Anolis sagrei: one gene and its partner. The protein of the gene in region 2 purifies or fractionates together with the protein of the main gene of each other region. This does not show direct contact. Links are inferred from orthologs where the notes say so. Each region holds a gene or a part of one and is shown on either strand. Other genes may lie near its edges. The genes, in order: CTBP1 and ZNF217.

Region 1 (15,576 bases), on a different chromosome or scaffold from region 2:
TACAAATGGCAATCATGAAATTTAAAGCAACCTATCTCAAGCTTTTCAGCACCTATTCCTCATTTTTAGAATTCCTTCCACACAACCAAGGCCAGGTATGTCTGTCCAGAAGCCAACAAGAAAACTGGAAGCCCGCACATGCATCTACCAGGCCCCTGAAGATCTCAAAAACGATTATCCTCAATCTGTGTTTCTATAGTAGAGACAAATCTATCCTAGTAGAAAGCTGTAGAAGCTCCTGGTGCATTTGTGTTCAAAATAGCTCCACTGGGTTGGCCAACTGATTTGAACACTGGGTTGAACACTGGAAATCCACTGAATTTTTTTTCAAAAAGACGCCTATTTCAGGGAGGTTTTGTGGACAGCCTTATATAGAATTACAGTCAGCCCTTTGTATCCACTTATTTAGCCAACAATGACTTGAAAATACTAAAAAAAACACCAAACTAAATCCTGATTTTTGCCATATACCAAGCAGTTCCACTGTTACAGATATTTCAGATCTTCAGCTTCTCCTTGGCAGTGTTCCAGTTCCCAGGTAACTTTTCCTATTGTTTTTATTCAGTAATTCACGTAATCCCAGCATGTTTCAAGAATTCTGGACTATTTTTTCCAAGATGCCCTTTGGAGCTCCAAAACAGTCATAGCCTTCAACCCAAACACAGCATTCCCTGTGATTGTATACTGCAGAGATTATTCAAAATGACAGCTGGTCCTTCTTTTGACCAGCCTGTCTGCCATTACCAGTACAAAACCCTTGACAGGCCTTAGAGAACATGAAAGCCACTGTCCTACTTAATAATAATTTTCTGTGCTGACACAGCATGCACATTAACTGAAAAAGTATTTGCAAACACAGCGTTAGATTTGGTTGCTGCCTGATTTCTACTGCACCCTCTCTTTTGTTTTGTTTTTCACAAATTCTATCAGCTTTCTAAAATCCATGATCATACTACATAGTTTAAAAAAATGTTTTTCCCTAACCAGTGAAAAGCAAAGCTCAGGGCTGATCTAAGGTGCATCCTATACACTTACTTAAGTCCCACAGGAATCAGTAATGCTTATTTGAAACAGACATGTAAATAATTATTCTATTTCACTACATGCATACTCAACTGCATATCACGCTAACTTCAGTAGCATTTACTCCCGGGTCAGTGGGCATAGGACTGCAGCCATAGCTGTCTTTTGGGGGAAACCAACTGGCAGCTAATTCACGAAGAACAAAGGGAAATGGTTTATCTTCCGATCACTGCAAGATTTAATCAAGCCCCTAAAAGCATTCTGTTTAACTATTTGCTTTGAGTTATTGATAGTAAGATAATGGCAGTCCAGTTTTAGGGACAGCTTGCATTACTATCTTCTTTAATTCACATCATTCTGACTATTTATTTGTATCCTCGGGTGAATTTCATTAAACTGAAGAGGGCTTTTTGGTGGCTGAACAGATCACCACGCAGAAATAGAAGTCTCCCTTTGTGGGGTATAAATATCATACACAGATATTAACTCAAAAAGAAAGAACAAGTCTGTTCTATCCTTGTTTTTAAAATAATGGCCTACCAATATTTCTCCTTGTAACAACTTGGAAAATATTGTGCTGTCAAAGACTTTCATGGCCAGAATCACTGGGCTGTTGTGAATTTGAGAATGCTACTGGAACATAGCCATACTGTCCGAAAAAACTCACAACAACCCCTGGAAAATATTGTTTTTCTTATATTTAGTCATTTTTCTTTCAATTGCTGCAGTTGCTCCTTTAATTGCATGATACGCTTTCTCAAACTTTAGTATCATGACCATTCTATGGGGGGGGGGGGGTTAGTAACAAGTAAATTGGAAAGTAAAAGGATGGGCAGTGGGTGAGAGAAAAAGTTTCCCCCACTTATTACATGCTTCAATGCTATTTCCTTGCACAATGCCAGGAAATATCAAAAAATAAAAAATGTTAATTACTATATCAAAGACTGAAGCAAGTAGAATTATAGTTAATAAAGGAATTATTTAAAAAACACATCAAATAATACTAAGAAATTCATATGGTTTTTGTGATTAAATATAAATAAAACTGTGTTTTCCCTTAGATGCTAAAAATAACCAAAAAGCCTCCTCTCCCCCATGTTACTATCAATGCAAATAGATTTTCTTTGAATGTGATAAATTGAACATAATTGTAAAACCATTACTTAAGTACTCATTCTATCTGCAAATTAATAATGGTAGGCATGGGCATATTACAAAAAGGAACGGTGATTCATACAAATAAGAAATGTGCTGCACCTAAAATGTCATTTCGTGTTAATGTTATATGCTGACAGGATAATCATATTTCTTTTTTTTAAAAATGGGGGAGGGGACAAGAATATAATATAGTTTTATTGTTAGTATTTTTCTTCCCATTAGGTATTCACAGCTAGCATCATGTAATTTAAAAACTACACCACTTTATTGGAACTTTCATTAGAAATAAAACTGCTTATCAGCAGTTCTGAGCAGTGGCCCCTTAGAATCTGCTAGGGTCTAGTTCCAGGTCCTCTATGGATGCCAAAACCCATTGAAGCTCAGGTGTTATTATATACAATGGTATGGTAAAATAGTTTTTCTTACATAATTCCCTTGCTTTTTGGAATGTCTCCTTTTTTTAATGTTTTTCAATAATGGATGGTTGAACCCGTGGATACAGAATCTGTAGATACCAAGGACCAACTGCACATAAGGAACTGTGCCTTGGTCAGTCATCATCACATTGCAGTCATTGATTGAATTTAAGTAAATAATATTTTAAAACCTAAACCTGAGATAAAAAATGATTTTTTATTATCAAAGATTATCTTTCCTTATTTTGGGAAGGGAGAAATGAAAACTATGCTTTTGAGCTATAGCAAGTTTGCATGAGATTTTACTTTGGTACTTAGACCAAAGTACCTTTGAAGTAGCTGGGTTAACTCTCTGTGTTGCTAATATTAGTCTCCAGAGGACAGGGCAAATACAACATTTAATCAGATCTGAAAAAGGCAGGCCTGGAGCACCCAACATTAACAGCCAATTATTGAGGGAGACACAATGTAGAGGAAGCAAGGCATATTATAAGGGGAGAGGTTCTAAACACTAAGGCTGGATCTACACTGCCCTATATGTCAAGATCTGATCCCAGATTATCTACTTTTCCTACATTATCTGGCAGTGTATTATTATTATTAGTATTAGTATTATTATTATTATCTTTATTTCTATCCCGCCTTTCACCGCATGGGGACTCAACGTGGCTACCATCTATCCACAATAAACAGTATAAAAAGAGCAATACAAAAGTTAAAAACAATTAAATAATAACAAATGTAGTAAAACCAGAATTAAAATACAGCAAATTCATTAAAATAGCCTTTAAAACTCATATACCCCCAATCTCCCCCCACCATTCTCCCCAGAGTCTCCCCTTACCCTTCCCCAAAAGCCTGTTGGTCTTGATCTGCTTGCGGAGGGCCAGCAGGGATGGGGCCATGCTGGTTTCTCTTGGGAGTTCCATTGCCTGGGAGCAGACACCGAAAAGGCCCTCTCTCATGCTCCCATCAAGCGTCCTTGAACGGGTGGTGGGACTAAGAGAAGGCCCTCCACAGTAGATCATATATGAGTGTAGACTCATACAATCCGATTTGAACGTAGCAGCTTATATAATGACTATGGGACTTGGTACTATGATGTTAATCTGTTGTATTGTATTTATAGGGGTTTTATAGTGGGTTAAACCACTGAGCTGCTGAACTTGCTGACTGAAAGGTCAGAGGTTCAAATCTGGGGAGCAGGGTGGGCTCCCGTTATTAGCCTCAGCTTCTGCCAACCTAGCAGCTCGAAAATATGCAAGTGTGAGTAGGTACTGCTTTGGCAGGAAGGTAATGGCACTCCATGCAGTCATGCTGGCCACATCACCTTGGATGAGTACCACCCCACAGTCGGACTCAACTAGACTTAATGTTAAGGGGGGGGGGGGCTTTACTTATTGTATTTATATGTTTTAATAGTTTTATAATTTGATATGTTATATTTAGTATGTATAATGCAGCATTGAATTTTGCTATGATGTAAGCCACCCTGAGTCCTCTTTGAGGTGAGAAGAGCATGGTATAAATATAGTAAAGAAATAAATCCAATTCAAAGCAGATAATCTGAGATCAGGTTCTGGGATATAGATCAGTGTAGATCCAGCCTCGGGACCTCATCTACCCTGCCCTATAATGCAGTTTGAAACTGCACTATATGGTCTGTGTAGAGTCATATAATGCAGCCTGTCTACTTCATCACACTAGAGCAGGCATGGACAAACTTTGGCCCTCTGGGTGTCTTGGACTCCAGCTGTTAGGAATTTTGGGAGTTGGACGTCCAAAATACCTAGAGAGCTGAAGTTTGCCTGCACTAGAGAATGAATCCAGTTTGTGTCTCCTGCAGAATTCTGGGATTTGTAGTTTAGTGAGGCTGTTAAAGACTTGTCCCTAAACTACAAACCCCAGAATTCTGCAGGAGGCAGCAACCGGATTTAAAGTGGATTCATTCTCTAAGTGCAGTGTTTCTCAACCTTGGGGTCAGGATCCGGGGGGGGGGGGGGGTCAGATGGGTCACCAAAGACCATCAGAAAACATAGTATTTTCTGTTGGTCATGGGAGTTTTGTGTAGGAAGTTTGGCCCAATTCTATTGGTGGGGTTCAGAATACTCTTTGATTGTAGGTAAACTATAAATCCCAGTAACTACAACTTCAAAATGTCAAGGTCTATTTTCCCCAAACTCCACCAGTATTCACATTTGGGTATATTGAATATCCATGCCACGTTTGGTCCAGATCCACCTTTGTCTGAACCCACAGTACTCTTTGGATGTAGGTGAACTACAACTCCAAAACTCAAGGTCAATGTCCACCAAACCTTTCCAGTATCTGCTGTTGGTCATGGGAGTTCTGTGTGCCAAGTTTGGTTCAATTCCATCATTGCTGGAGTTCAGAATGCTCTTTGATGGTAGGTTTAACTATAAATCCTAGCAACTACAACCCCCAAATGACAAAATCAATCTCCCCCAACCCCACCAGTATTCAAATTTGGGCATATCGGGTATTTGTGCCAAATTTGGTCCAGTGAATGAAAATACATCACGCATATCAGATATTTACATTATGATTCATAACAGTTCCAGAATTATAGTTATGAAGTAGCAATTAAAACAATTTTATGGTTGGGAGTCACCACAACATGAGGGACTATATTAAGGGGTCACAGCATTAGGAAGGTTGAGAACCACTGCTCTAGTGTGAGGAGGTCCTAATAAGTGAGTTATAGGAGTCAACACTGGCCACGTAAAGTAGTTCTAAACTGCGTTATATGGTAGTCTAGATGGCCTCTCTGTTGATGGGTGGCTGTAAACAAAAGCGTGGTTGTGCCAGTGTGCCTTCCCAGAATAAGGAAAACTCTCAGCAATGTGCCCTCAAAATGCACTTTACCACTGATTTAGGAATGACTGCATTCCCTCAATTCTCTCTGAAAATCCTATCCCAGTTATATCCTACCTTGCTCACGTCAGAATTATTTTTTAATTTTAATCTATTACATTTGGCCCAACCATTGGATTTAAATGCTTGTATGTCACTGTTGATTGTTTATTGCCTATTTTTTGTTAATGTGATTTATATGAATTGTATTGTATTGATTGTTTGTTTATTGATGTTTTGTTTATTGATGTGCGGTGGGCTTGGCCTCATGTAAGCCGCACCGAGTCCCTTGGGGAGATGGTAGCGGGGTATAAATAAAGTATTACTATTATTATTTTATTAAAAGCCCTCTTGACCACAAGGCCCTTACATGGCTTCCTAAGAACAATGCCCACTCCAAGCCGGCATCGAAAGAGCAGCCCTGCGCTCCACGCTCCCTTGGTTGGATGGCCAAGAGGGAGAGACAGAAGATGGATCAAAAGGGAGGGCAGCGAGACAGCCAGGAAGTCAGGGAGCCCCCCAGAGGTGAGGAAGCGGGAGCTCGGCTTCTTCCTCCTCCTCCTCCATCTTGGCACAAACGGCCCCCTGGAGGAAAGGAGGGAGGGAAGGGGCGGCTCGAAACCGGGCCCAGGCGGTGCCAGGAAGGAAGGGAAGGAGGAAGGACAAAAGGGGACGACATCAAACTTTCCCGAGCGAGGCAAGAGGCGCCAGGCCTTGGACCCTCCCAGCGGCGCCCAATAACCATATTCAGCCTTTGGGGGCGCAACCGGAAACCGGCCTCCAGCGAGCCCCCTCCCCAAAGGGCTGTGTTCACGGGGAAAGGCCCCAGCGGAGAGCGAGGCCAGGCCGAAGCAGAGCCCCCCCTCCCCCAATGTCCTCCCTGCGGCCTACTCCTCAGCTTCTGAGGGGAAGCAGGAGGGGACACAATGCCTCACAAAGCGCGAGGGGCCTTCTCCTCCTCCTTCCCCCACCCCTCCCTTCCCTCCGTGCGCGAGGCGGGAGAAACAGGCACAGCAAACCCGAGGCAGCGGCGGCGCCTTACCGAGCGGCAGGCCCTTGTTGAGCAAGTGGGAGCTGCCCATCGAGAGGCCTCTCAGGGGCAGGGCTCCAGCGGGGTCTGCTCGGGCGCGATTCGGAGCATATGGCGGCCCCGGCGGCTCCCTCGCCCCCTTCTTTCCTTTCCTTTGCCTTCCCTCCCCGCCCGGCCCCTCCCTCCGAGCCCTCGCACTGAGGCTCCGCGATCAGGGAGGGAGGGGGGAGCAGGAGGAGGAGGAGGCGCGCGCAGGCAGGGGCGGGGCCGGGCTGGGCTCGCGCTTGCTCTCTTGTCTGCTGGCCGGATGTGGAGCCGGAGAGGAGGGAGGGAGGGAAGGAAAGGGAAGCTGGCGTGCGCGCGGGAGGAAGGGGAAGAGGAGGAGGAGGCGTGGCCTCCGCCCCGCCCCTTTTCGGAGGCAGAAGGACCCCACCTCTGGAGGGAGGGAGGGAAGGAGGGCCGCCTCCCCGCCTGATTCATTGCCCCGACGAGATGGGACCCTCCTCCAAACACGGTTTTCATTCACGGTTCATCTTCACCGTAGACGGCCTGAATTTTTTTAAAAAAAAACAATATTTACAATAACTTTGTGCAGATAGCAAATATCAGATAGCAAAGGTGCCCCTGCCTCAGCCTTGTCGGCGTTTATATAAGTAGCCTGCAGACTGACTTTACCCTTGTAATAACTCTATATAAATAAAAATGTCATGTTTGTTTGTGGGATTAACAGAACGCAAAAACCACTGGACGAATTGACACTAAATTTGGACACAATACACCTATTAGGCCAACGACACAACAACAGAGAGGAAACAAACAAGGACATCTAATCACCTCTCAACAAAAGATTCCCCCAGGCACTGCCAGGCCATCAAATGCTAATCAAGGTGATCAGTTGAAACATTCACACCTAGCTCCAGCAGACAAAAGTCCTTTGTCCCACCCCGGTCATTCCACAGATATATAAACCCATTTTCCTACTTCCAACAGACCTCACTACCTCTGAGAATGCTTGCCATAGATGCAGGCGAAATGTCAGGAGAAACTGCCTCTAGAACATGGCCATATAGCCCGGAAAACCTACAACAACCGAGCATTACATTTTTATTTATATAGTTACTACAAGGGTAAAGTCAGCCTGCGGGCTACTTATGTAAATGCTGACAAGGCTGAGGCAGGGACACCTTTGCAATGCTTCTGGAACATGGCCATATAGCCCGGAAAACCTACAACAACCCAGTGATTCCAGCCATGAAAGCCTTCGACAATACAAATGTAATGTTCGTTTGTGGGATTAACAGAACTCAAAAACCACTAGATGAATTGACACTAAATTTGGACACAATACACCTATTAGACCAACGAGTGACCATCACTCATAAAAACACTGAAAAACACAGCAGAAGAGACTTTAAAAGCCAAAAACAATAATTACATAACGCATGCGCAAAACCACATATATATACACAAACATACACATATACACACATATATGCACACACACAAAACACATATACACAGACTGGGCCACAGCAGTGCGTGACAGGGGACAGTTAGTCTATATTAATAAAAATCTATATAAATAAAAATGTGTTAATTTGTGGGATTAACATAACTCAAAACCCACTGGACAAATTGACACAAAATTTGGACACAAGACACCCCTCATGCCAACAAGTGACCATCACCCATAAAAACACAAAAAAACACAGTGGATGAGACTTAAAAAGCAAAAAAAACACACACACACACATTACAACGCATGCGCAAAAGCACATATATACACAAACACACATATATACACAAATATAAACACACACATATACAAATATATATACACACAAACATATACACAGACTAGGCCACAGCAAAGCGTGGCAGGGGACAGCTAGTATATTAATAAAAATGTAATGTTAGTTTGTGGGATTAACATAAGCCAAAAACCACTGGACGAATTGACACCAAATTTGGACACAATACACCCATCAGGCCAACAAGTGACCATCACTCATAAAAACACTGAAAAACACATTGGGACTTAAAAAGCCAAAAAAGCAAAAAGATGCTACAGAGCATGCACAAAAACGACTCCCCCGGCAAAAATACCCACACAATAGCAATTCCACACTCTCTTTCGGACTATTGCTCCCAGCATCCCCTAGACCAGGCCTTTTAAGAGAGGGGGATGATCCAAATGCAGTGTTTCCAAGCTGCAAGCTTTCTTCTTAGATTTTTTAAAGAGCATCCCAATCCCTGCATACTTGCAATTTCCTATTCTTGGACTGCAACTCCCAGCAATCCTCCAGATAGGTAAGGTAGATAGATGGATGGATGGATCAGGAGGACTGCTAGGAGGTGCAGTCCAAGAGTAAGTAGAGAAGGAAGAAAGGGGAGAAAGAATGGGAAAGAAAAGGTGGGGGAAGGAAGGGAAGAAGAGAAGAGAAGAGAAGAGAAGAGAAGAGAAGAGAAGAGAAGAGAAGAGAAGGAAGGAAGGAGAGAAAGGAAGGAAGGAAGGAAGGAAGGAAGGAAGGAAGGAGAGATGTAAGATTGGCCACAGTAACGCATGGTGGGTACAGCTAGTGTGTAATTCATAAAAGAAAAACACATGAGTCTTCAGCTTTAAGTAGAAAAGAAACGAAGTTGTATTCACAGCATACAAAACAAAATAGAAGAATTGCTCTCACCAAAAACATAACATAAAACAATATCTTCGGTGAGTTCTCTTCATTCCGCGTTGATATGCAGTCTCCCTTAGTCAGTTGTCCGTAGAGTGACCTTGACTTGCTGCCTTATTTTCAGCTCTGGACGCTTGCAGTAACTTCTCTCGGCATCAAACAAACAAAGGTTTTTCAACTCAAACCGAGCCCCAAGCAAAGCATACAAACACAATGCTCAAACACGTAGAACACAATACTCCAACACAAAGAATGCAAAACTCCAACACGGATAATGCAAAACTCAAATACAATGCAATACTTAAAGTACAAACACACATGAGATAACAATACACTTAATTATCCCAATAATTAACTGTGTCAGCTGTAACAGAAACAGCTCTGATCCTTTCCAAAACTTAAGAAAAGTACGTTGCAAACCTTTAGTAGCAACAAGCCCCCCCACCAGAGTAGACAATTTTGGAATCTGGAGTAGTTCTGGTCTTTGGAATTCCAATCTGTATGCACATTGGGACACTCGCAGGAACACCTCATCAAGCGAGTCCAAAAGTGGCAGGCTAAAACCCAGAACCTGAATTAATGGTTGATACCAAATGAGAGACTCCCTCCTGGGCACACACAAAACTGGGCGACTTGGAAGGTGCTGAGCAGACTGTGCTCTGGCACCACGAGATGCAGAGCCAACCTTAAGAAATGGGGCTACAACAGTGTTTCGCAACCTGGGGGTCGGAACCCTGGGTGGGTCGCAAGGGGGTGTCAGAGGGGTCACCAAAGGCCATCAGAAACCACAGTATTTTATGTTGACCGTGGGGGTATTGTGTGAGAAGTTTGGTGAGGTTCAGAATGCTCTTTGATCGTAGGTGAACTATAAATCCCAGTAACTACAACTTCAAAATGTCAAGGTCTATTTCCCCCAAATTCCACCAGTGATCACATTTGGGCATATTGAGTATTCGTGTCAAGTTTGGTCCAGATCCATCATTGTTTGAGTCCATTGTACTCTCTGGATATAGGTGAACTATAACTCCCAAACTCAAGATCAATGCCCACCAAATCCTTCCAGTATTTTCTGTTGGTCATGGGAGTTCTGTGTGCCAAGTTTTGTTCAATTCTGTCATTGGGGGAGTTCAAAATGCTCTTTGATTGTAGGTGAACTATAAATCCCAGCAACTACAACTCCCAAATGACAAAATCAACCCCCCCCCCCCCAAACCCCACCAGTTTTCAGATATGGGCATATTGAGTATTTGTGCCGTATTTGGTCCAGTGAATGAAAATAAATATCAGATATTTACATTATGATTCATAACAGTAGCAAAATGATAGTTATGAAGTAGCAACAAAAATAATGTTATGGTTGGAGGTCATCACAACGCGAGGAACTGTATTAAGGGGTCACGGCATTAGGAAGGTTGGGAAACACTGGGCTACAAAGTGGAATCCACGACATGCCAGTTGGAGAAGAGCAAACCATAGACCACCTATTACAATGCAGCCTGAGCCCAGCCACATGCACAATGGAGGACCTTCTTGCAGCAACACCAGAGGCATTCCAAATGGCCAGCTAGAATGCCAAGTTTGCAAACTTTGTGGTTTTTTTTAATGCAATACAACTGTTTGGTTCGCTCCTGACACGATAAATAAATTGGGTTGCTATGAGTTTTCTGGGCTGTATGGCCATGTTCCAGAAGCATTCTCTCCTGACATTTCGCCCACGTCTATGGCAGGCATTCTCAGAGGCTGAGGGGAAACTGGGCAAGTGAGGTTTATATATCTGTGGAATGTCCAGGATGTAAAACCCATCTTTACATTGAAAAATCTTCAACATGTCTTGCAAAATAAACACATAGCCATTAGACTAGTCATTCTCAACCTGTGGGTCCCCAGATGTTTTGGCCTCCAACTCCCAGAAATCCTAACAGCTGGTAAACTGGCTGGAATTTATGGGAGTTGTAGGCCAAAACACTTGGGGACCCACAGGCTGAAAAGCACGGCATTAGAATCTCAAGAAAGATTGCATAATAGAGTTAATATAAGCACTATTCAGGTTTTTAAACCCATTATGAGCATGGTGGCGCAATGGGTTAAACCCTTGTGCCAGCTGAACTACTGACCTGAAGACTTGAAGGTCAGCAGTTCAAATCCGTGAGATGGGGTGAGCTCCTGTCTGTCAGCCCTAGCTTCCCATGCAGGGACATAAGCAAAGCCTTCCACAGGATGGTAGCACATCTAGGCATCCCCTGGGCAATGTCCTTGCAGATGGCCAATTCTCTCACACCAGAAGCGTCTTGTAGTATATTCTCAAGCTGCTTCTGACACGATTAAAAAAAAACCCAACTTAACATGGAAATTGCTGGGTACCTAAGTTAATCTATATCTATATCTATCTATCTATATCTATATCTATATCTATCTATATCTGTATCTGTATATATAATAAAAGAGAGTGTTTGTAGTGGAAGGGTAGAAGTGTGGAGGGCGGACGTGTTTGTGGCAGCTTTCCGATTGGCTAGCCTGAAAGTTCCAAGATTCTGATTGGCTGCCGCTGTGGAGCTATTTGCATATGGTCTCTGATTGGCCAGCTTCAATAGGAGCCCCTGGTGGAGAAGAGGGCTCATGGCAGAAACGGGGCATGACAGAAGGAAATTTGCATATGGTCTCTGATTGGCCAGCCTCAAATCCAACATTCCGAGATGAGAAAGAGAGGAAAGGAAAGGCCGGGGGCTGGGTCAGAACACTACCAATACAGAGCAGACTTGGCACACAGAGCCCCCATCACCCACTCTACATCCTACTGCAGTTTGGAGGACTATGAACCATGGATGATGGGACTTGCAGTACCACCACTCACATTCTTAGACCGCTGTAAACGTTATCCAATGACTCATCAGGACCAAACTTCGCACAGAGACCTCTCATGACCCACTTTACGTCCTGGTGTGGTTTGGCCGGGGATGGACCGTGGATTATGGGACTTGCAGTACCATTGCTCAATTCTTCACAACCACTGCAACCCTCATCCAATTACCAATAAATACCAAACTTGGCACACTGAGTCTCCATGACGCACTCTACATCCAGGTGCAGTTTGAAGGAGGATGCACCATGGACGATGGGACTTGCAATACCTGCACTCCCTTCCTCAGACCATTACAACTGCCAACGATGATGGATCAGGACCACAATTTACACAGAGACCCAGCATGACCCACTCAACATCCTGGTGCAGTTTGGAAGAATTTGACAGTGGATGATGGGACTTGCAGTCACTTCACTCACTTCCTGAGACCACTGAGACCCTCGCCAATGACTCATCAAGACTAAACTTGGCACATGGAGCTTCAATGACCCACTCTACATCCTGGAGCAGTTTGGAGGACGACAGACCATGGATGATGGGACTTCAAGTACCTTCACTACCCAAGACTGCTGCAAAACTCATCTAATGGCCAATCAAGACCAACGTTGGCACACAGAGCCCCCATGACTCACTCTACATCCTGCTGCAGTTTTGGAGAAGAGTGGACCATGGATGATGGAACTTCCAGTACCTTCACTCGCATTCTGAGACCTCTGCAAACCTCATCCAATGACGGATCAAGACCAAACTTGGCACATAGACCTCTCATGACCCACTTTACGTCCTGGTGTTGTTTGGAAAAATTTGGAGATGGATGATGGGACTTGCAGTACCTTTGCTCACTTCCTGAGACCACTGAGACCCTCGCCAATGACTACTCAAGACTAAACTTGCCACATCGAGCTCCAATGACCCACTCTACATCTTGCTGCAGTTTGGAGGAGGACAGACCATGGATGATGGGACTTCAAGCACCTCCACTCCCTTCCAAAAATTGCTGCAACCCTCTTCTAATGACCAATCAAGACCACACTTGGCACACAGAGCCCCCATGATCCACTCTACATTCTGCTGCAGTTTGAAAGGGGATGGACTTTGGATGATGGGACTTGCAGTACCTTCACTCACTTACTGACACCACTGCCACCCTCATCTAATAACTGATAAAGGCCAAACTTGGCACACAGAGCCCCCATGACCCACTCTATATCCTGCTGCTGTTTGTAGGAGGATGGCCCATGGATGATGGGACTTCAAGTACCTTCACTCACTTCCTGAAAATAATGCAGCCATTATCCAAAGACCAATAAAGACCAAACTTGGCATACAGAACCGCCATTACCCACTTTCTCTAATAACCCGGGCAACGCCGGGTCCCCAAGCTAGTATATAATAAAAGTCAAAACTTGTATGCGGAGGACAAAAGTGTGGCGGTGTATGTGCTCGCTTTCTGATTGGCTGCCACTGTGGTCTCTGATTGGCCAGCCTGAAAGTTCAAAGATTCCGATTGGCTGGGCAGCGGTGCTATTTGCATATGGTCTCTGATTGGCCAGCTTCAAGAGGAGCCCCTGGTGGAGAAAAGAGTTCATGACAGAAACGGAGTCATGAGAAGAAAATTTGCATATGGTCTCTGATTGGCCAGCCTCAATTCCAAGATTCCGAGATGACAAAGAGAGGAAAGGAAAAGGCCAGAGGGGGCTGAGTCAGAAAATTACCAATACAGACCACACTTGGCACACAGAGCCTGCAAGACCGACTCGACATCCTACTGCAAACATGGATGATGGGACTTGCTGTACTATAACTCACATTCTGAGACGGCTGTTAACCTCATCCAATGACTGATCAGGACCAAACTTGCCACATAGACCTCTCATGACCCACCTTATGTCCTGGTGTGGTTTGGATGAAGATGGACCATGGATTATGGGACTTGCAGTACCTTTGCTCAATTCCTGAGACCACTGCAACCCTCATCCAATTACCAATAAAGACCAAACTTGGCACACTGAGTCTCCATGATGCACTTTACATCCTGGTGCAGTTTGGAGGAGGATGCACCATGGACGATGGGACTTGCAATACCTGCACTCCTTTCCTAAGACCATTACAACTGCCAACAATGATGGATCAGGACCACGATTTACACAGAAAGCCCGCATGACCCACTCTACATCCTGGTGCGGATTGGAAGAATTTGACATTGGATGATGGGACTTGCAGTCACTTCACTCACTTCCTGAGACCACTGAGACCCTCGCCAATGACTGATCAAGACCAAACTTGGCACACAGTCCCCATTACCCACTCTACATCCTGGTGCACTTTCGAGGAGGACAGACCATGGATGATGAGACTTCAAGTACCTCCACTCCCTTCCCAAGACTGCTGCAACCCTTACTAATGTCCGATCATCCTGGTGCTGTTTGGAGGAGTACGGACAATGGATGATGGGACTTGCAGTACCTTCACTCACTTCCTGAAACCACAGTGACATTCATCCAAATACCAATAAAGACCAAACTTGGCACAGAGAGCCCCCATGGCCAACTCAACATTCTGGTGATGTTTGAGGGAGACTATGGATGATGGGACTTGCAGTACCTTAACTCACTTTCTGAGACTGCTGTGACCCTCATCCAATGACTGATCAAGACCAAACTTAGCACACAGAGCCCCCATGACCCTCTCTCCATCCTGGTGCACTTTCGAGGACAGACCATGGATGATGGGACTTCAAGTACCTCCACTCCCTCCACTCCCTTCCCAAGACTGCTGCAACCCTTACTAATGTCCGATCAAAACCAAACTTGGCACACAGAGCCACCTTGACCCACTCTACATCCTGATGCTGTTTGGAGGAGGACGGACAATGGATGATGGGACTTCAAGTTCCTTCACTCACTTCCTGAAAACAATGCAGCCGTTATCCAATGACCAATAAAGACCAAATTTGGCATACAGAAACGCCATTACCCACTTTCTCTAATAACCCGGGCAGCGCCGGGTTCCCAAGCTAGTATATAATAAAAGTCAAAACTTGTATGCGGCGGATGTGTGGCGGTGTATGTGCCGGCTTTCTGATTGGCCAGCCTGAAAGTTCCACGATTCTGATTGGCTGCTGCTGTGGTGCTATTTGCATAAGATCCCTGATTGGCCTGCTTCAACAGGAGCCCCTGGTGGAGAAAAGGGTTCATGACAGGAATGGGGACATGACAGAGGGAAATTTGCATTTGGTCTCTGATTGGCCAGCCTCAATTCCAAGATTCTGAATGGCTGCCGCTGTGGTGCTATTTGCATATGCTCCCTGATTGTCCTGCTTCAACAGGAGCCCCTGGTGGAGAAAAGGGTTCATGACAGAAACAGGGACATGACAGAAGGAAATTTGCATTTGGTCTCTGATTGGCCAACCTCAATTCCAAGGTTCCGAGATGACAAAGAGGAAAGGAAAAGGCCAGGGGAGGCTGGGTCAGAAAATTACCAATACAGAGCCCACAAGACCCACTCGACATCCTACTGCAGTTTGGAGGAGGATGAACC
Region 2 (15,504 bases):
CTTATTTGAGCCAGCACTCCCAAGAAAATATCCAATCCAGCAAAACAGGGACCACAAATTAAAGGATTTCACACCCCAAATCTATAGGAAAGATCCCTTTAAAGTGCAACAAAACATGGAGAATACTTGCAAGCCATTGTTACTAAGCATAGTGCTCAGATACTTTTGCAAACCCGCACAGCCATATAATCCAAAATATCAAGCCAAAAAAATACCACAATATCTGCTTTGAACTTGGGGGCCTTCCATACAGCCCTATGTGCCAGAATATCAAGGCAAGAAATCCCACATTATCAAAGTGTGGACTCAGATAACCCAGGGCCATTCCACACAGTCCTACATCCCATATCAAGGCAGAAAATCTTTGAACTGGGTTATCTGAGTCCACACTCACATAATGTGGGCTTTTCTGCCTTAATATTTTGGGAATATTTTTGGAAGGGCCCTGAGTTCAAAGCAGATCTTGTGGGATTTTCCACTGATTTTATATTATGTCATTTTGCACTGCTTATTTTACTTGATTGTTTTATTTATTTTATTGTGATGTTATTTTTGTTGTTCTGTATTTTATTTTGCTGTAATACATTGCAGGGCTTGGCCTCATGTAAGCCACTTCAAGTCCCCTCTGAGGAGATGGTGGCGGAGTATAAATAAAAATTATTATTATTATTATTATTATTATTATCTATCTGCCTTGATAATCTGGGATATAGTGCTGTGTGGAAAGGCCCTGGGTTATCTGAGTCCACACTGCCATATATCCCAGTTCAAAGCAGAAAATGTGGGATTTTATTCAGCTGTGTGGAAGGGGCCATAGACATACAAAAAGCCCAATCTTTACCAGCCCACATAATGCAAGTGTTGGTCATCAAGTCAATGGCTGGCATTCAATTTTGTACTTAGGCATTTAATTCCTTGGCTGCTCTGATCCTATCAAGCCAGCTTTCAAGGCCTAACTAACGAAATACATTGTGAAGAATGAGAGGAGCTTCCCACCCACCCTCTTGCATTTTTTTAAAGTCTGCTATTTCCTTCTGTTCCTTCACACACATAAACTTCCCTTTTCACATTCTTCTGTAAATGATTTCACTTCATCTACAGTCTGGAAGTTCCTATTTCTGCTTTCTTTCGACTCTGTACTATAGAGCCTTTCTTCTCCTTGCCCCCTCCTTTTTTTCCACCTAGGAAAAGAAGTATTTAGAAAAAGAAGAGAAAGAAAAAAAGCTTTCAAGGTCACTTTAGAAAGGACAGTATTGGAAAAAGAAAGAAAAGAGATAAGGCACAACTGTCCTTTTTTGTTGTTCCACTGGCTGAATAAGTCCTTCTGAACAACAAACACCCCCAAATGCCCTTTTAACATGAAGCCCAGCATAGAAATTTCCTGGCCACAAGACTTCAAAAACTCTTCCACTTCAATGCAGAGACTCACAAGGGGATTCAACACACACACAGCATGGAGAGAAGGGACTGCATGTCCAGAAGCTGCTTTGAGAGAAAGGATTTCTCCAACTGGAACAAAAAATTATATTAAAAACCAGCCCAAAAAACAAGGGGAGCCAATGAAATATGAAGAAATGTCTCCCCCATGTATAGATAAGGTGAGCCTTCTGCACAGGGAAGTGAAACCACACTCTTTATGCATATGCACTCTCCTCTTCTGCCTAAGCCTATTGTTGTTTCCCCAGAGCCAAGAAGGTGGCTTATTTTTAAGGCTTTCTCCTTCCTCCCCAACCACCCTATAATCTCCAGTATCTTTACATAAATAGAAGTGCATATCTATCTTTTTTATTCAAAAATTGCAATAGTTTAGGAAGAGTAGATTCAATTCATTTCGAAAGCATTCAAAAACGAAACTGGCCAAAACGGATCAATAAAGTTTTCATTAGCATTTCTGACCCCCCTCCCCTTGCTTTCCTATCCCCCCCCCCCCCCCAACCTTCAGCCAAACACATTTTGCAGACCTTGCTTCTAGGAATATCCATAACTCACAAAAAAGACCCCTTTCCCTTGCCACCCAGATCGACAATAATAATATTTAAGTATTGAAAAGGAATACCTATAGAGATAGCTATAGAAGTTTCCCCAACATCTACTGGAATGGCAGGAAAAGGGATTGGAGAAGAAGAAGAGAGGCGCTGTAAATAGCCAAGGCGAGGCAGAAATCACACACACAGAGCCAGAAGTTTAAGAGGAAGCAGAAAAAGCTACACTCTTTCTCTTCCTCATCTGCTTCTTTCCTCCTTTTGAAAAGGGAGGGGGGGTCTTTGGGGGAAAGAAAGGAGGGGGGGAGAGAGAAATCTAGCCTAATGAGAAGACTTTGCAAAAATAAATAAATAAAAAGGATCTCTTTTTAAAATAATAATAATCTAGGTTTCTTTACCTGCTGCTGCTTTCTCTTCTGCCTAGTGGTGGGGTTTGGTGGTGGTGGAGGAGGAGGAGGAGGAGGAGGAAAGAGATAAAACTGACACAACAGGAGTTGCAGCGTTTGAATGAGAAAGGAGAGAGGGAGGAGGGATTCTTGAGGGAGGAGGAAGAGGAGGAGGAAGATGAAGGGAGGAGGAGGAGGAGGGCTACTGGGAGTTTTTGAGGCTGGTTGCGTGAGCTGCTGCTACACACACACAAAGACACACACACACACCTGATCCTTTTGCCTTCTGTCCTCCTGATACCAATGGGTTGGGGGAAGAGGAGGAGGATTTCCAAGGAGCGCAAAGGGAGGGCATTTCCCAATAAGGAGGATGATAAAAGAGGTTGGGATGCTTAGCTGGAGAAGAAGCAGTGTTGCAAAGGAAGAGGGCAACCATGTGCCCCTTTCTCTAAACACAAATGCATTTGGAGGAAAAGGGGAACCTGAATGTGATCAATGCAAAGATTATTAAGTCTTTGTATCCTGTCTATAAATCTATAAAGCATGTTTTCCTCCAAATCAAACCATCTAAACCAGTGGTTCCCAACCTTCCTAATGCTGTGACCCCTTAATACAGTTCCTCATGTTGTGGTGACCCCCAACCATAAAATTATTTTCATTGCTACTTCATAACTTGTTATTTTGCTACTGTTATGTAATGTAATAATGTAAATATCTGATATGCAGGATGTATTTTCATTCACTGGACCAAATTTGGAACAAATATTCAATGCACCCAAATTTGAATACTGGTGGGATGTGGGGAGGGGATTGATTTTGTCATTTGGGAGTTGTAGTTGCTGGAATTTATAGTTAGCCTACAATCAAAGAGCACTCTGAACACCACCAATGATGGAACTGAACCTTGGGGGGGGGGGGGGATTGATTTTGTCATTTGGGAGTTGTAGTTGCTGGAATTTATAATTAACCTATATCAAAGAGCATTCTGAACACCACCAACGATGGAATTGAGCCAAACTTGGGCACACAGAACTTTCATGACCAACTGAAAATACTGGAAGGGTTAGGTGAGCATTGACCTTGCATATTGGAGTTGTAGTTCACCTACATCCAGAGAGCACTGTGGATTCAAACAATGGCAGATCTGGACCAAACTTGGCACAAATACTCAATATGTCCAAATGTGAACACTGGTGGACTTTGGGGAAAATAGACTTTGTAGTTGCTGGGATTTATAGTTCACCTACATTCAAAGAGCATTCTGAACCCCACCCATTATAGAATTGGGCCAAACTTCCCACACAGTAGCCCCATGTCTTGAACGGACTCCCTGGAGTGAGCCTCCCTCCAACCTCGCACACTCCCCTCACCCGCATATGTGCACCACACTGCCATGCTCCTAGCATGCCTGCTCTCCCCTCCCCAACAGAGACGTTTTGGTGGGAGGATTCAACAGCTTTCCAAAAAGGAAGAGGACAGGCCTAGAGAACTTCAGCCTTCTCTGCCAAAGGAGTTCCTAAGACCATCAGAAATATGTTTTCTGATGGTCTTTGGCAACCCCTCCCCCAGGGGTTCCAACCCCCAGGTTGAGAAATGATGATCTAAACCCACCCTTGATCTCAGGGATATCCAACCTATGTGCTTATATGTAAATTATGCATATGATTATGGTTTAAGTGTTGATATCATTTCCATGCAAGCTCTCCTGAGAAAGCCAAGCCAGCAATAACACGTCTAAACCCACACATCTCTTGATCTCAAGCCTATATGCAATTTTTGGGTTTATGAACACTTCATATATATGTTACAAAGGTAACTAATTCCTTTTGATTTAAAGTGTTTATATTGATTCCATGCACATCTGAGAAATCAAGCCATAATATAGGCCCCTTCCACACATCTGCATAAAATCCCACATTTCTGCTTTGAACTGGAATATATGGCAATGTGGACTCAGATAACCCAGTTCAAAACAGATATTGTGGATATTCTGCCTTGATATTCTGGGTTATATGGCTGTGTGGTTATATAGGCCCTTGACGCCTATCCTTGATCTCAAGAGTCTTCAGCCTATTTGCAATTTTTGGGTCTGCTTTGTTTTGGTTTAAGTGTTTATATTGTTTCCATGCAGATCTTCCAGAGAAATAAAACCATAACATGGATAGAAAAACACATCCACTCCTTGATCTCATGGCCCTCCAGCCTATCTATCTATCTATCTATCTATCTATCTATCTATCTATCTATCTTTATTATTATTATTATTTGAGTAGGACTGTGAACCTCTCCTATGTATGTTAGAAGGATGATTTGAGAAATAACATCATAACATAGAAGGAAAATCACGCCTCAAAATCCATTCTTTATCTCAAGCCTATATGTAATTTCAAAATGGGATTATAAACCCCTCCTATATATGTTGCAAGGGTGATTTGTTTTAAGTGTTTCTATCATTTCCGCATAAGATTTCCTGAGAAATCAATCAATAATGTGGGAGCACAAGCACTCCTCCTTATCCCATCCTTGATCTCGAAGGTTTTTAATTTATATGCAATTTTTGGGTGGAATAATGAACACTTCATGTATGTGTTACACGGATGACTTGTTTTAAGTACATATATTGCTTTCACACAAGTTTTCCTGAGAAATCAACATGAACAGAAAAGCACACCTCGAAATGCGCCCCTTGATCTCAAGGGTCTTCAGCCTATATGCAATTTCATGGAGGGATTATGAACCTCTGGTATATATGTTACAAAGGTGATTTGTCATAACATGGATAGAAAATACTATCTCCAAATCCATCCTTGATCTCAAGGGTCTTCAGCCTATTGGAGATTTCAAGGTGGGATTATAAACCCCTTTTATATATGTTACAAGGGTAATTAGTTTTTAAATGTTTATATTATTTCCACACAAGTCTTCCCCAGAAATCAAGCCATAACATGGGAGGCTCAAGAACACCTCTAAATCCACCCTTGATCTCAAGGGTCTCTGTCCTATGTTGGGTGGGATTATAAACCCCTCATATATATGGTAGGAGGGAGATTTATTTTGGTTTGTTTATATTGTTTCCATGCAAGTCTTCCTGAGAAATGGAGCTGTAACATGGAAGCACAAACACACCTCTAAACCCACCCATTGATCAAGAGTCTTTGATGTATATGCAATTTTTGCAAGGGGTTATGAACCCAGGAATAAAAGTTGCAACTGGATTAACCTAGCATTCTTCCTTCTTTTTCTGCCTTTGCTCCACCCCAGTCTCTTTTTAATTGGGAATGCCTCCAGAGCAGAGACCTCTTGGGATTCTGCAAGACACCTCACCCTGCTTGAATAGGTGTGCCTACTTAGGAGTAAACTTTGATGGATCAAGCTGAGGATTGCAAGGGCCTTATCTACATTGCCATGTAGTTTGAAACTGCATTACATGGTCAGTGTCGATGCATACAATGTAGTTCAATGCAGTTAAACTGCATTATATGGCAGTGTAGATGGGGCCTCATCTCCAAGGAGATACTTGTCTGTACGGATCTCCCTTTATGAGTGTACTGGAGCTTTAAGATCTGCTGGGGAGGCACTGCTCTCGGTCCCACCCCCCTCGCAAGTGCAACTGGTGGGGACGAAAGGTAGGGCCTTCTCAGTGATGGCCCCTCGGTTGTGGAACTCTCTCCCCAGTGACATCAGGCTGGCTCTGTACACAGGTGTTCGGAAAACAGAATTATTATGGAATTGACCTCAATAGCTTGAGCAAGGACCATGAGAAAATAAATAAGTATGGAAACCAATGATTCGGCACTTAGTTATGTTTTTAATTTATTATGTTTTTAATTTGTTTTATTGCTTTTATGTGTGTTGATTTGTTTATATGTTTTAACTGTTTATAGCTTGTTTTAGTATTGTTTAATCTTGTGGCATTGAATTTTTGCCGGAGTTTGTCAGCCGCCTTGAGTCCCCTGCAGGGTGAGAAAGGCGGGGTATGAATAAATAAATCAAGTAAATAAATAAAATAAGGAGGCCTGTTTTGATGCCATGGAGAAAAATAAGGCAAAATCCACAACAGAGAGATACCTTGATTGGAAAACCCAATTGCACAAAACACATCAGGCTCCAGTGGTGTTACTATCCAGGAATCCCTTGAGCCACAGCAAAATTAAAGAGTGGGATTTATAAATGGCTAATAGGAATGGCCTCAGGCTGCAATCTTTCACCTGGGAGTAAGCCCCCTCCCCAAAATCAATGGGGTTTAGATTTCCATGGTTTCTCTCCTCTTTTGTTTCAAAATGGAATCAAGGGGCTTGCTCTGGAAAATGAAAGAACTGGAGTTTTGCCCCATCCATCTCCAAAAGAAAGCTAGGAATTTGATGGGGATCCTTTAATAATGCACCAATCACACATGGATAAAGATTTAGAATAGTAAATATGGATCACTTCTTGAATGTATGTCAAAAGTAGCAAGGATTATTGTTAGCTCAAATTTGGAAACTGAATTGCAGGATACACAATGGAAGAAGGGATTGCCAAGGTTGCAGAATTGGCCTTTAAAGTGGATTTTCAAAGCTATATCAATTTTATCTGTTTGTGGACTCTCTGAGCATTTTGGAAGCTAATGACAGAATAATCTGTGACTATTATTTAGCTGGACCATAATAGTACAATATTTTATATTTACCTTTTTAATTTTTCTTTCCATGAGGGAGGGAGATGGTCAGAGCCCTATTATGGTTTAGTTATATGTCTTGTCCTTTCTTTCATCACTTCTTTTCTTTTTCTCTCTTTTTTGAATGCATATCACTCTGTCCTGCAAAGGAATCTAACTTGAGAGAAATAAATAATCAGCCTCAACGATCCCCTTTGCATGCAGATATATTCCACATCAACAGGGCCATGTCTCAGAGGTTTAATGTTAAAATGTCAAGCAATCAAGCCATTGCACATAGAAAAATAACCCCAATAGCATTGCTGCTTTGTCATACATACCCTCTTACAGATGTCTGCAAAACACTGCAATCTAGCTGGAAGGAGTGCTTTGCCATCTTGGAGAAGAAAGGATGATTTTTATCAGGTTTCTTTGCCTTGCTTTGGCCTCATTGACCCCCAAAGAAGGGGCGGTCCTGCCTTCTTTCCCCCTCCCCTCTTTCCCCCCTCTCTCTCCTTCTCCTCCTCCAGCAGCAGCAACAACAGCCACAGATAAGAGGCGGGAAGGAGAGGAAGCAGATTAGTTTGGGGAGTTGCAAGCAAATGCTGGGTTCCCCCTTCAATGCATGCATGTATGCATTCATCTTTAACAGCTAGCACAGATTAAGTATTCACAACTTAGAAATATTCTCTACACACACATATATCCAAAGACATTTCAAAAAGCAAAGGTTGATTTAACCATTTTATATAAGGGGCACCATTTTCCTGCATCACTGTCTATAATAGGGCTTGAGCATCCAGGGTGTCTCTGGGATACAAAGGGCCCAGGTAGAGTGATTCCTAGAAGGCTAAAGAGATGCATTTATTTATCTATTTATTATTTTCTGTATTTATATACTTCCTTTCTCACCCCTGGGGGGAATTCAAGGCAGTTTACATCATATTATTGGCAAAAATTAAATTCTGGCATACAGTAACACAAATCACAAAAACCAAACACGCCTGGTTAAATGATGAAGCTCCCTGAGCCGCCAAAAAACTAAAAAGTTCCATGTTATTAACATTAATTTAACACAATTGAAACTTCCATAGCCATTTTTGCCATTGACAATGATTGTTTTAGCACATATAACTTTGACTTAAAATCATTAAAACCATTAAATATATGACAAAAATCAAAATTTAAACATTCAGACAAGGCATTAAAATCATCCTAATATATATTTATTTAAAATTTAAACATTCAGACAAGGCATTAAAATCATCCTAATATATATTTATTTTTAATATGGAAAAAAATAAATAAATGTGATATTAATAAATCTAACTAGAATGACAAAACCAACCTTAAATTGTAATTTTATGCCAGGCATTCAAATTACTTTCCCTCTGACTTGCATTGTCAAAGCCTGAAACTGGGGTGCATCTCCACTGTGAATTAATGCAATTTGGCACAACTTTAACTGTCATGACTCAATGCTATGAAATTGCGGGAGTTGGAGTTTGGTGAGCACCCTAGGAGAGAAAGCTAAAGACATTGCAAAACTTTAAACAGCAGTTGTGTCAGACTGTATTAATTTTACAGTGGAGATGCACCCTTGGCAATCTCTCATGTAATTTTGCCACACTTCTTTACTATTGTGATATTTCATCCTGTTGAAGATGTATTGAGGCATTGAGGTCATATTCTCAAGTGACTTTTGGAAGGGCTAAACTGGCAGTCCTTTTCACTATGCCTTACACTGCATTGTTAAAGGGGTTTGGTGGGATTTTGCCACAAAAGGGGGGTAATTGATAAAATGGGAGCTCTGGCTGTCTTGTGGAAGAAACTGTAAAAGAAAACTATCACTAGGGAATCATCCCAAAGTTTGGAGAACCCTTCATAAATGACAACATTTCTCTCCTTCCTTTGCTGACAAAGCCATAAAGTGAAAATGGGTGCTCAGGCATGAGATATAGTTGTGAGGAACTGGAAGAAAATAGGTAAATATAGGAAGAAATTAAATTTAATTTAGGAAGAAAATAGGTAAATAGGTAAAAAATGTATCACACACTGTTCTTTTCACAAATTCCATTTCAAAACGATTTGCATATAAATGTCAAAGCAAGTTAGGGGAAAATTCTTACATGATGGAGCAAAATTGAGCTCATTTTTGGACATAAAATGCTAAATTCCTATAAAACCAGAACATACATTTTAAACGGTTTTATGACCCTTAATGTCACAGGCCTGTGTTATCAGTGGGGAATCATCCTAAAGTTTAGCAAACCCTGAAATAAATGATAATCTTCTCTCTCTGATAAACTTTTGAAGTGAAAATGGTTCTTCTAAGTATGAAAAATATACCTTGGGTGAAGAAAGGTGGTTTAGTTTGTTGGTTTTATGGTTCTGTTTTTCCACCTCATGATTTAATCTACTCTTTTCTCCATGGATGAAATATAGATATATATAAGGGACGTAATTTTTTGTAGGAAATCTTAGATCTGTGAGTTTGGGATTCACTAGTTTTAGGTCTGCTGTTTTGTTGAGAGAAGAGTCCAGCATCTCTGGTTCTCTGATGTTTAACGCGCACACACATGTAACAACTATAAAACTCTAGGGGTGTTTGGAATACTTTGCATTCTCCAGTAAGCCATTGTTGTTGCATGCCTTCAAGTGATTCAGAGCTATTGCGACCCTATCATAGGGTTTTCTTGGCAAGATTTCTTAGGAGGAGGTTTGCTATGGCATTCATCTGGAGCTGAGAAAGTGTGACTTGCATACAAGGTCATCTTGTAGGTCTCCATGGCCAAACAGGGATACAAACTCTGTTCTCTCGAGTTGCATCCAATGCTTGAAACACCATGCTATACCAAAATCATATACAGTAAACCAACATCATTATAGGATTGTATGGAATGCTTTGGAATGCTTTGCAACCACCAGTAAGCCATATGATAACCATAGAAGAAGGATTGGAAGAATATGTAACAAATTTAATATTAAAAACAAGGAATGTGTGGATGCAAAATATACAGTATAATGGCCATCTGAAAGTCCTCGGTTCCACATGTGACTCCAGCCTTCCTTCTAAGGCCCCATCTACACTGCCATAGAATTCAGTTTCTGAATGTAGATTATTAGATCACATCTGTACCACTAGACCACATCTGGAATGCTGTGTCCAGTTCTGGGCACCACAATTAAAGGGAGATGTCGACAAGCTGGAATGTGTCCAGAGGAGGGTGACAAAAATGATCAAGGGTCTAGAGAACAAGCCCTATGAGGAGCGCCTTAAAGGGCTGGGCATGTTTAGCCTGAAGAAGAGAATGCTGAGAGGAGATATGATAGCCATGTATAAACAAGTGAGAGGAAGTCTTCGGGAGGAGGGACCAAGCTTGTTTTCTGCTGCCCTGGATACTAGGACATGGAACAATGGCTTCAAACTACAAGAAAGGAGATTCCATCTGTATTATTTTAAATTTTAAATTTAAATAAAATATTAGGAAGAACTTCCCGACTGTGAGAGCTGTTCAGCAGTGGAACTCTCTGCCCCGGAGTGTGGTGGAGGCTTCTTCTTTGGAGGCTTTTAAACAGAGGCTAGATGGCCAGCTGTCAGGGGTGATTTGAATGCAATTTTCCTGCTTCTTGGCAGTGGGTTGGACTGGATGGCCTACTAGGTCTCTTCCAACTCTATGATTCCATGATTCTATATGCTTTGAACTTCAGGCTTCGACATCCAAGGTAGAAAAAATTATACTGACCTCTGTATAGAATTGTCAAATGGTTTATTGGTGATTGCAAAGCATTCCAAACGTCTATACCAGTGGTTCTCAACCTTCCTAATGCCGTGACCCCTCATGTTGTGGTGACCCCCAACCATAACATTGTTTTTGTTGCTACTTCATAACAGTCATTTTACTACTGTTATAAATCATAATGTAAATATCAGATATGCAAGATGTATTTTCATTCACTGGACCAAACTGGTTCACCTATAATCAAAGAGCATTCTGAACACCAACAATGGATTTGAACCTAATTCGCCATACAGAACTCCCATGAGCAACGGAAAACACTGGAAGGGTTTGGTGGGTATGGACCTTGAGTTTGGGAGTTATAGTTCACCTATATCCAGAGAGCACTGTGGACTCATGCAATGGTGGATCTGGACCAAACTTGGTACAAATACTCAATATGCGCAAATGTAAACATTGGTGGAGTCTGGGGGAAAATAGACCTTGACTTTTGGGAGTTGTAGTTGCTGGGATTTATAGTTCATTTCAATCAAAGAACATTCTGAACTCCACCGATAGAATTGGCTCAAACTTCCCACATGGAATCCCCATGACCAACAGAAAATACTGTGTTTTCTGATGGTCTTTGGCGACCCCTCTGACACCCCTTCGCGACCCCCTCAGGGTTCCCGACCCCCAGGTTGAGAAACACTGGTCTATACAATCTTATAATGATATTTATAATGATACTGGCCTATAGGGTTGTTATATGGTTCCTTGTTTTTAAAACAGCAGATTATTTTTCATTTTCAGAATTTTGTGGAATTCTATAGTCAAATCTTGTCTGCGTGTAATTTAGGTGGAGAGCCAGATTAAAAAGAAAACAAACAGTTGACTAAGTGTTGGAGAGCAATGCAGAACTTCCAAATTAGAATGGTAAGAAAATGCCCTTCTTGGATTAGCAAGCACAAAGGACTCAGCAAAGTAGAATAACTGGCCTAGGATTGGAGGAAAGGGGTTGGAGGATGGACTTGATGGATTAGATTTTTGTTTTCCAGGAAGACAGAAAGAATGAGGGAACTGGTGAAGAGGGCGGAGTTTTGACAGTTTATTTGAGCAGCTAAACATATCACTTAGGGGTCATCTTTATCAAATGTCTTCAGTTGTATAGGGGCATGAGATATTCTAATTTCAGTGGCTGTTACAAGGGAATCAAAATAATAACTCCCTCATTGTTGCTTTGGCAGCAAGCCTATTAACAATGCCTGAGTTATTTCTTGCTAGTCCCAATTCCCTCTTGCGTGTTAAGTTTTTTCTTTAAACAATGAAGATATTACTACTAAATTATGTTTTATTTCATTTGCTTGACTGACATGTTTCAGGTAACTATATGTTCAAAATGTTATAGGATGTTGTAAATTTAAAATAATACAAATATATTTTTTTAAAAACTTATTCTAGGCAAATCATCTTTAAGGTAAACTGATCAGCATTTTGGAGTGAGCAGAACACAGCAATGCTACCAGTGTAAACAACAACATATTTATTTATACAATAACATAATATTTATTTAGAATAGATACTTTTCCATATTTGTTGAGACAGAGAGGAAAAAGAGGTAAAGTCATGATACTAAGGGCCCTTCCACATAGCCATATAACCCAGAATATCAAGGCAGATAATCTGAGTCCACGATGCCATATAACCCAGTTCAAAGCAGATAAGGTAAGATTTTATACAGTTGTGTAGATGAGGCCCTAGACAGCCATAGGAAACTATAGAAGATGTGTATCTTTTATATAGAACTACTCATTTGCCATTCATTGTATACGGTGCCAATTTGGGTGATTCTACACTGCAGAACAGTGGTTCCCAACCTGTGGTCTATTGACCACCAGTGGAGCGCAAGAACTAAAATATGGTCCACGGTCTAACCATTGCTACACTGTTGCAATTAAAGTAACTGGCCTTGTGAAACTCTCTTATAGTACTGAAGTTTATTAAACAGGGTTTTCTGTGGACAATTATTTATTTATTTATTTACAGCTTTTATATTCCGCCCTTCTCACCCCGCAGGGACTCAGGGCGGATTACAGTGTACACATATATGGCAAACATTCAATGCCAATTTTTGACATACAAACATATACAGACATACACAGAGGCTATTTAACTTTTCAGGCCGCCAGTAGATGGCAACTACTGGGTGACATATGTTCTGTATCAGAAACTAGAGCTGATGTGGTCTATCCAACGCAATTTTCTGAATCAGCACTCCAAATAACCAAACTGAATCTAAGGGCCCATCCAGACAGCCCCTTTATTGCAGAAACTTTCACAATAAAAAGGAGGTGTCCAGATTACATTCTGGCCAACTCACAATTAACTGACAAGGGGAAGGTCCCCAGTTAAAAGGATCTAGGGTAGAGTCCCCACTGAAAATGCCCTGCTCCTAAAATATGTTAACCTAATGTCTGGAGAAGATGGAAAGGTTTCAGCTGTGATCACCTACCATAGGAAATGGTTAAACAGGGTCATTCCTCTTCTCAAGATCCTGTGATATGGATGGATGATGACCAACAATTATTTTAGGATGATGACTGACCCAGTTCTTGTGGGTTTTTTCGGGCTATATGGCCATGACCATATAGCCCGAAAAAACCCACAAGAACTGAGTGATTCTGGCCATGAAAGCCTTCGACAATACATTGAACATCTCTACGGGGAGAAACTGTTCCAAGACACACGGAAATTGGAGAAACTAAGGACCAGGAAAGCACATCTACTGTGCTCCCTGACTTTCCTTCTACATGGCCATATAGCCCGAAAAAACCCACAAGAACTGAGTGATTCCGGCCATGAAAGCCTTCGACAATACATGATGACTGACCACTGTAATTATGACTGTACTTTGCTATTTTAATGTTTTAGTGTTATTTGGATTATGATGTTTTAATGATAGTTTGTAATATTGTTGTTGGAAACCGGCCTGAGTCCCTCGATGGAGGTGAGAAGACCGGTATACAAAACTGCTAAATAAATAATAAATTCTCTTTCTTGGGGCGCTTCCAGACAGCACTTTATCACAGGCTTTAGTGAGGGGCAAAAAATCCCGGGACTTCAGGAGAGGTCCACATATACACCTGTTGGTCCCAGGATTGCTGCCTCCATTGTCCAAATATCATGCTTTGTTCCAAGATTTAGAGGCTCCCAAGATGGCTGCTGGAGGCAGAACTTTCGCTGGAAACCGGCAGTTTTATACATATATATATATATATATATATATATATTGCACGGGAGCCCCTGGTGGCGCAGTGGGTTAAAGCACTGAGCTGCTGAGCTTGTTGATCAAAAGGTTGCAGGTTCAATTCCGGGGAGCGGCGTGAGCTTCCGCTGTCAGCCCTAGCTTCTGCCAACCTAGCAGTTCGAAAACATTTAAATGTGAGTAGATCAATAGGTACCGCTCCGGCGGGAAGGTAACGGCGCTCCATGCAGTCATGCCAGCCACATGACCTTGGAGGTGTCTACGGACAACGCTGGCTCTTCGGCTTAGAAATGGAGATGAGCACCACACCTCAGAGTCAGACATGACTGGACTTAATGTCAGGGGACTACCTTTACCTTTACTATATACATATTGCGAGATGCGGATATGAGGATGTTAGAATATACGGCGAACCGCAAAAGTCCCATTTTTTGTCCTGGGTAGAAAACTTGTCCCCTGAAGTATCTCCCACACTTACAAACCTCATAGGATAGAACCACTACTATCCAAGTCAGCAGTACACAAACAGGAACACACATTTTAAAGCCAGGAACAGAACTTTGTCATTATCTACTATTGTTAGAGCCTGGCTGCTTGGCCATATGTCTAGACAGATTTGGTTGTGTACTTGTGGCATCCAACAACAGGGTTCTGTTTCTGGGTTTTATTCGGCTTTCCATATTAGCGGATATGAGGTTATTTTCATATCCACATCTCTGCAAAGGGTACTATTTATGTGCAGTCCAAAAAAAACTGTGTCCTCCACATGTTTCATCAAGTTTCAGGCACACAAACAAAGTTTTTGGAGTAAGGCTACTTCTATCCAAGTCAGAACTACACAATGAAACAGGAACACACACTTTCAAGCTAGGAACGGAACTTTGTCATTATTGTCACTTTTTACAGACTGCCTGGCCATCTGTCCAGACAGATTTGGTTGTGTAATTATGGCATCAAACAACCCAGAGCTGTTCCTGCATTACACGTGGTTTTTCCTATTAGCCACTTGCATGACCTTGGCTCTCAGTATTTACATTCCTCTCCAGCACATCCATGTTTCAACAGCCAGTGATAAGTTTTTGTCATCAATTGTACACATGTTATCAGCATACACCCAATGACGAACCAACACGTATAACCCAACAACATCATCCTGTTGTTCCCTGGCAGAAGTACACCATGAGACCTGTCTGCACAGATGGCCACACAACAAGGTCTGAGTAATTATAGTAATTATGACATTCTGTTCCTGGTTTGAAAGTGTATGTTCCTGTTTCATTGTGTACTAATTACTGTGAAAGTACTTGTTGCACCCCAAGAACTTAATTTTTTGCTACAAACAGGTGAAGGATGAAGTTCCTCTTCCCAAGACAAAGTTTTTGCCTTCTACTCAAGCGTCACTTTCTTTTAAGGAACGGATGAATCAGGAGAAAGCATTAAAAACCCAGGAACAAACCAAGATAAAAAAATCCTGTGATATCCAATTGCAGGGACATACAGATGTGAATATCCGGAT

What was found.
Region 1: the proteins of ZNF217 (region 2) and CTBP1 purify together in Homo sapiens (affinity purification with mass spectrometry; 10 studies listed by BioGRID and IntAct, counting the BioPlex papers as one, with this or other methods). This does not show direct contact. The link is inferred for Anolis sagrei from reciprocal best matches to the Homo sapiens genes ZNF217 and CTBP1.

What each region holds. Positions count from the first base shown.
Region 1 is NC_090023.1:143,537,714-143,553,289, reverse strand, and holds the start of CTBP1 (C-terminal-binding protein 1), read right to left. Parts: upstream 6,789-15,576; 5' UTR 6,554-6,788; coding exon 6,514-6,553; intron 1-6,513. UniProt on the Homo sapiens protein: Corepressor targeting diverse transcription regulators such as GLIS2 or BCL6. Has dehydrogenase activity. Involved in controlling the equilibrium between tubular and stacked structures in the Golgi complex.
Region 2 is NC_090024.1:224,625,352-224,640,855, forward strand, and holds the start of ZNF217 (zinc finger protein 217), read right to left. Parts: upstream 7,428-15,504; 5' UTR 7,346-7,427; intron 2,517-7,345; exon of another isoform or gene 2,381-2,516; intron 2,145-2,380; exon of another isoform or gene 2,057-2,144; intron 1-2,056.